2 linked regions of the Coturnix japonica genome follow. The protein of the gene in region 1 purifies or fractionates together with the protein of each later gene. This does not show direct contact. Links are inferred from orthologs where the notes say so. Each region holds a gene or a part of one and is shown in the gene's direction. Other genes may lie near its edges. The genes, in order: CAMLG and TNFRSF13B.

Region 1 (3,914 bases):
TGTAGCACACAGGAGTGTATTTACTTTTGAACAGCTTTTCAGATGATTGCACAGTTTCTAGTCAGAATGCATCAAGTTTTTTTAAGTTCAGACAGTCGGATAATTATTTTTCCAGAGAAAGAAGTCTCTCAATTTAAATGGAAGCTATGCACTTGCATAGGTTATCACTTAAAACTTGTATTTGGGGTATATTATCACTCAGATGCTGGGAGCTGTCGTTGCATTTAACAGCCCATCCAAATCTGCTTATGATGACTGTATTGTAGCCCCTCCTTTTTTCTAATAAATGTTGGACTGTTCCATGTACACCAGACTAGCAGTTACAGATGTCAGTCTGTGTGGCAATTAACTTGTAGGATTCCCTAAGTTTTATAAGACAAAACATAATCAAGGCTCAGCTGAACCCTCTTGGAGCAGAACATGCCTTTTTCACTTTGGATTTTCACCTTCAGATTAATTCTGTATTGAACTTGAAGTTTATTCCCTGGCAATGGGAAAAGCCTGCTGTGCTGTAAGGTCAATAAGGACAGATGGACGCAGCTATCCACAATGCCTCGCTTTTACCTACCACTGGAAAAATGATGCTGATGATGAACTATAAAAACAGGCAGGAGTGGCTCTGGTTCTTAGATCTCATCACAACTCCCACTGCAAATATATTCTATTTTTCTAGTTGAGGAATTTCTTTTAAACTCATTCCTGTATTTGACCCATTAGTGTTCAGCCGACGTCGTTACCATCCATTTTACTTTGCTTTCATTCTTAATTTAATATATTTGAGTCTTAAGTCCACGTAGGTTGTTTTTGCAATAACTAGAACGATTCTTTTATTTAGGTTTAATTTCTTAACAGTATTTAATAAACAGATGCAAAATGGCTGTTAAATAAGGGACCATTCAATGTGATTTTAAGCTTCTGTTTCCTACAGATGTCATCCACTAGTCAATGTGCCGTTGTACAGTAGTGTATAATATTGTATTATTAAATCTTTCACTCTGAGACGATCGATCTTCCCCTGTTCTGGACTCGAGGCAGGGTTTCCTTGTCCTCCTTTTTACAGTTTGTAATTTTCACTCTTTTATTCCTGTAAAAAACAAAAAGCCATTTGTAACACATGCAAATGCTTATTTTATCTGTGCTAATTTATCAGATTTGGCTACTCAATAAAATCAATTGAACTCACGCAGGTCCCTCAGTGCTTTGTCAGCGGTGTGAGTGCGGGGCTGTGCTGGGTCACACTGCGTGAATAGAATGGGATAGTGGCAAGTCAGACTGATGGGGATTGGGCCTCTCGCCTTTTGACGTCACTTCCGATTCTGCGGCGGCCATCTTTGTTGAGGGCACAGCTCTGTGTCCTCCACTGCGCTGCCCCGTCACAGCTGGGAGAGCGGCGGGCTGTCTGCCTTCTCTTTGCCATTATTTAAAATGGTGCCGCCGGCTTCGGCTCCCGGAAGCGGGCGGTGATGGCGCATGCGCGTTGATGCGCGGCGCAGCCCCTTTTTGTGCGGCGCTGCGGCCTGTGGTGCCGGGGATGGAGGAGGGCGGCGGGCCGGGCGCCGCTGCCGCGGGGCTGTCGGCATCACAGCGGCGGGCGGAGCTGCGGCGGAGGAAACTGCTGATGAACTCTGAGGAGCGGATCAACCGCATCATGGGCTTCCACCGGCCCGCGGCAGCCAAGGGTGAGCCCTGAGCCAGGTGTGGGGCCGCGGCCCGGCCCCGTTCACCTCAGTGACAGAAAGTCGCTGAGCGCGGTCCCTCAGTGTCTGACACAGTGAGCGAGGAGCCTCCGTCCATCGGGGCCTTTGGGTACCCAGCCATTAACCTCTGCAATGCAGTGCTGTGCGTGTAACTCGGTGTTTTTGTTTCTCTTCTTTAGATGATGAAAGTCACGTAGAATCAAAACTCGAACAAGATAAATCGAATTCCCATCCTCTTCCTTCTGTTTCAAAACGAATCGTGCTCGGTGATTCGGTCTCCAGTGTGTCCGGAACAACTGACCATGCAGTCAGTATGGGAGACCTCAAAGGGGAGAAGGACTTGTTCAGTAAGACCCCGCAGCTTGTCAGTGAGGGTACAAGTGAGCTCCGGCACCGTAACAGAGGGGAGCTGCCATCTGAAGCCACAGCACGGCCACCCAGGCATGGATTAGAACAATACTTATCCAGGTTTGATGAAGCTCTGAAGCTGAGGAACCAGCTAATGAATGAGAAGCCGAGCCAAGAGAACGGGAATGCGGTGGAGGAGTTTGATTCTTTCCGCATATTTCGATTAGTGGGATGTGCTCTGCTTGCCATTGCAGTGAGGGCCTTTGTGTGCAAGTACTTGGTGAGTTCAGCGGAGCAACCAGTCCCATTCTGTTTGACTTATTAATGACAGGCTTAGGACTCAGCTCATATAAAACGCTACTTATCTGGGCTTGAAAGCTGTTTATGTAGGGCTAAGTGGGTTGGGAACTAAAGGCATTCTTTACAATGCTGTCAACTGTGTAAAAGATAAGAAAAAAAGCAAACCAAACAACTCTGGCAATCCTTGAGATGATAACTGTCAGAATCTGCATTATCTAGCACAGCTGCTGAGTTACAGCTGGGAGTTGCATGCTTTTGGTGCTTAATGTTTTGAGGAGAAGCAACATTAGAATAATTATTACTGCTTAAGTCTTATGCAAGTTTGAGTCAACTGTTGTTCTTTAGGAAAGAATAACAGAGTAAAAGCTACAACACTTGCACTGTGAGGTGCAGATCCTGCTCATTTATCAACCTGTTGAGGAAAAATAGTCCCTCAGTAGTGCAGGTGTCTGCGGGCACGTCTTGCAGAAGTGCATGACTGGTGCAGCCTGCCACCTTCTGGAGCACTCAGCCTGTTAGTACACACTGCTCTGTCGTGCAATTTCAGGTTTCAAGACTGAAAGCAAGCAAGGTGGAACAATGCTCCTGTGATACATCACTTGTCTGTATTCAATGGTAGTGCTGTTAATTAAATTTCTGTGTTCTTATGTATTATTTCTGAACTTTAATATATTCTTTTTTCCTCCGTCAGTCAATATTTGCACCATTTCTTACTCTACAACTTGCTTACATGGGACTATCCAAGTACTTTCCAAAGGTAAAGCAATTTTTCTCAATTAGATTAACTTCAAATGTTTTAAACCCCTGCTTAGGTTGTATTGTTGCATGGGGAGTGTTCTTATTCTGTTTTGAGCTCTAGAAATGAGAATTATCAAATGCTCATAGCTAATGCCAGCTGTCAGTATGCCCACATTTAGTCCAAATGGTTTTAAGAGTTGTTGTGGAAACATGGGCTAGCAGCTTACCTGGCTGTAAGATAACTAAAAGCATCTGACTGTGAAATTCCAGTTTATCTTTCATGTCTTTAGGATGGTTCTGCTTTTCTCCTAGGGTAGCACTCTTCTGTGGTTACTGTTGTCTCTATCAGCAGCCATTGGGTATATGTGATTCCTGGGCAAAATCTGTGGATGTGGTCATAAGGTGGTTGTTTGGGCTTTAAGGGCTCTGTGTTCCAGTTTGAATGACAGCTAGAAATGAGATATTAGTGCGTGAGGCTTTGTATTTATCCTCAATCCATAACTCTGCTTTACAGCTTGATTGGATTGCCATGTGATTGGATTGCCATAACACCCATGATGCAGTTTTTTTGCTGTTAATGAGCTTCTCATTCAGCTCCTCAGATCCTCCACAGCTTGAATTTGTAGCTGGGTTAAGTAAGGTATTGTGAGTCCTGGAGAGAACCAGTGCAAACACGCTGTTCTTGCCAGTGAATCTGGAGGTGTCTGGGTATGTGAAACTGTGATGTTAAGCAGAACTGGACTGTAGCAGAAGAACTAACATACTGTTGTTTTTCCTTCTAGAGTGAGAAGAAGGTGAAAACTACAGTACTAACTGCTGCTCTGTTACTGT
Region 2 (3,281 bases), on another chromosome or scaffold:
GGTTTCGATATGATGCTGACACACCAAAGTGAGATGTCAGAAATGACACAGGGCGGTAGGAGCAGCCCCGGGGGCCGCAGAGGAATTCAGAAGGTTCTAGACTTACAAACAGATCCAGCTGCTGGTACTGATGGCGCTGCGCGTGTCCCCCTGCACAGGTCCCAGCGTTGGGCGCACCAACCCCACACACGGTTCCCTCCCCTCCCAAAGCCATGGATGGGACGTGCCTGGGAAGAGCCGCCATGAACAACTGCACCAACCAGCAGTACTGGGACAGCCTCCTCTGCCTCTGCATCCCCTGCACCCTCATGTGCAGGAGCTCGGCCGAGCGGAGGTGCAAGGCGCTGTGCGGTGAGTGGGGCACCAAAATGCAACCCCAAAGCGCAGGGAAACACAGCAGTGGGGCTGTGGCAGCAGCTGGGTGCAGTGCAGCACGGAGTTGTTCGTGTCATCATGTGTTGGAGAGCTGGGAAGAGTGGAACCCCATGAGGTTCAACAAGGGCGAGTGTGGAGCCCTGTAAGCTGGGGAGGGATAACTGCACACATTGGTACAGGTTGGGGCTGAGCTGCTGGGAAGGGCCCTGCAAAGAGCTGAGTGTCTTCGTGGCCAGCAGGGTGACCAACAGCCAACTCCAGAGCTGGAGGCACAACGCCCCCAAACTCTGCCTACAGACCCACATGTGTGACCCCATCCCTCCCCAGTGGGCCATGGATGTGCTCAGAGCGAGCTCTGCTCCTCTCCTTCCCTTCCTGCAGAGTCTGCGGTCTGTAACAGGAGAGCTGGCTTCTACTATGACGAGCTGGTGAAGAAGTGCATCAACTGCAGCACAGTGTGTGGGCAGCACCCCAAGCAATGCGATGCCGCGTGTGGAGGTAAGATGGGGGATGAGGGGTGGGAGAGGTGTGAGTTTATGTTGATGCCCTCCGCTCTGTGCCCGTCTGCCCTCTGCTCTCTGCCTGCCCTGCAGGATCTCTGCTCTCCAGTCACTCCCCACCAGCCGCCCTGGTTTCAGCATCACCTCCCGCGGCTGCACTGGAGCAGAAGGTTTGTGTGGAGCAGGAGCCGTGGCTGGTGGTGTACCTGCTGCTGGGGCTCTGCCTCTGCGCCCTCGTCTGCTCCCTGGTGCTGGGCTGGACACACTTGCGGAGGAAGGGGGAGGTGGGCTCCTGCCAGGCCAGCACCGGGACCTGCCACTGCCGGGAGGACCCTGCCAAGGGTGAGTGAAGGGGGCAATGGGAGGGATGGGCAGCGGGGGGTGGCTGTCACCTGAAAGCAGAGCCTTCCTAGGGAGGGAACAGACCCAGCAATGGGTCACACGGCCTGGGAAGGAGCAGGACCTCGAGGATGTTGTGGCATTCAGCCTTTGCTTTTAAGGGCAGCCGAGAGGTGAAAAGGGATTTACCGCCTGCTTTTCAATACCCTGCGCTCAACCTTGATTGTCAGAGCTCAGATGAACAGAGCAGAGCCCTTTGCCAGTCCATGCAGCGCTGTGTGGCCCCCGAGCCAGCAGCCCCTGTGTGTTGTACAGCACTGCTGCATCAGCACATGGCGCAACAGGAGCACTTAGGGCAAAAACAACCCACGTGTAACGTTATCAGTGTTACAGCTGCTTTAGTCCTACACCTGCAGCTCCCCTGCTCGAGGCTCCTTCCCATTTACCCCTCTGCCCTTGGGGCAGCAGGACACATGTGGGTGATGCGTTTCAAGCACAGCAGCAGCGCATGTAATTACACAGTGCATTCCAGCACTGCCTCCTTGCAGGCTGTGGTGCAGCCCTGCGCTGTGTTTCTCGTCTCTGCAGATCACCTGGTGGAAGCTGGCAGTGTCGGTGAAGGATCCACGGGCAGCAAAGCCCCAGAGCCGGTGGAAACCTGCGGCTTCTGCTTCCCCGGCCACGGCTCCGCTGTGCAGGAGAGCAAACCGTGCCACAGCCCATCCTGCCACGCAGGGGAACGAGCTGCTGCCCCTCACGCTGGGATATGCAGCATGGGCAGCGCGGGGGCGATCCCCAGTAACAACGATGGCCACTTCAAAATCATCTGCTCCCCTTCACAAGAGAAGACGCCCACGGTGTGACTGCGGGAGCTCCTGCACCGGGCTGCAAAGGAGGGCTGCTCCCCAAGCACAGCTGATCACCCTCTGCCTCCAGCACCCAGGATGGATGGGCTGAGCACAGCCTCTGCTCGAGGGCTGCAGGCACAGACTGTTCTTTTCCACTCACCCAAACTCTCCGTTAGCAGCGGCTCCATCCTCCTGCTCAACCTCTGCAGGCACCTCCGTGTGCGCTGCTGGTTGGGGCTGACATCCCACAGGGGCTCCTCATCACAGCTCCTCCATCAGCATCGCTTGGCCTCTGCAGAGGGAACTGATGCAGCTTCACACACAGGAGCAGGGGAACTGTGCTGGGCACCGGCATCACTGCTGCAATGGGGCTCTGCTGTGCAAAACCATCCCGGGCTGAGAAGCCTCTGAAACACTTTGAGTTCTGCTGTGCTGCTGACAGAGCCGGGAATGATGATGCTTGAAAGCTGCTATGGAAAAACTGGGGGTTCAGTGCGTGGAACTTTAAGTTCTCACTAATGGAGAGTGCAGGGCTTCTGCTTGGCGTGGAATCACTCCCAAGAGGAGATTCAAGGCCTTGAGTTTGTTTCTCAGACCAGAGCTCAAGACTTGAAATAATACATGGGAGTGTCATCAGATGTGTGAATTGGGGATAGGAAAATAAACTGCTGGAGGAACCACGAGCAGATGCAGTCCTTCAGATGCAGTCCTTCCCCACCCTGCCATGCATTGCTTTCCTGCTGTCCCACCACCAAGGCAGGCAGCACCGGGCTGAGCACTGCACACACACAGCACCAGGGCCATGGGGAGCCCCTCAGAGCTGTAAGGAGCAGCAGGAGGCTGGAGGTGCAGTGACATCCCGTGCTTTATCTCATGGCTGGTGAGCAGGGCAAAGCTTTGAGGCCATCTCTGGGAACCAACACGGTGCTTCTCAGTCTCCTCTTTGAGGGTGGGATGAGCTCTGTGTGGTGCTGCATTTACAGCCCCAAACCCACCTCAGCCTCCCAGCAAGCCCTGCAGCCTCTGCTCTCGCTCAGCCTCAGCTCTGCCTCTACTCTTAACCATCCTCAATTCTTCCCTGGTTACCACCTCCCCCTCCCAGTCCTTCAGCCTTTTCTGCTCAAACTGAGCCATCTGTGCCCCAGAAAACAGGCAACGCACACACCCACAGCCAGGTCCTTCCTTCCAGCCCTGATAAGCTGGAGGGGAACATTCCTCA

The links.
Region 2: the proteins of CAMLG (region 1) and TNFRSF13B purify together in Homo sapiens (affinity purification with western blotting; 3 studies listed by BioGRID and IntAct, with this or other methods). This does not show direct contact. The link is inferred for Coturnix japonica from reciprocal best matches to the Homo sapiens genes CAMLG and TNFRSF13B.

What each region holds. Positions count from the first base shown.
Region 1 is NC_029528.1:2,444,774-2,448,687, forward strand, and holds the start of CAMLG (calcium signal-modulating cyclophilin ligand), read left to right. Parts: upstream 1-1,405; 5' UTR 1,406-1,480; coding exon 1,481-1,679; intron 1,680-1,876; coding exon 1,877-2,325; intron 2,326-3,036; coding exon 3,037-3,102; intron 3,103-3,865; coding exon 3,866-3,914. UniProt on the Homo sapiens protein: Required for the post-translational delivery of tail-anchored (TA) proteins to the endoplasmic reticulum.
Region 2 is NC_029529.1:4,684,203-4,687,483, reverse strand, and holds the end of TNFRSF13B (tumor necrosis factor receptor superfamily member 13B), read left to right. Parts: intron 1-158; 5' UTR 159-212; coding exon 213-351; intron 352-756; coding exon 757-873; intron 874-968; coding exon 969-1,217; intron 1,218-1,802; coding exon 1,803-2,077; 3' UTR 2,078-2,746; downstream 2,747-3,281. UniProt on the Homo sapiens protein: Receptor for TNFSF13/APRIL and TNFSF13B/TALL1/BAFF/BLYS that binds both ligands with similar high affinity. Mediates calcineurin-dependent activation of NF-AT, as well as activation of NF-kappa-B and AP-1.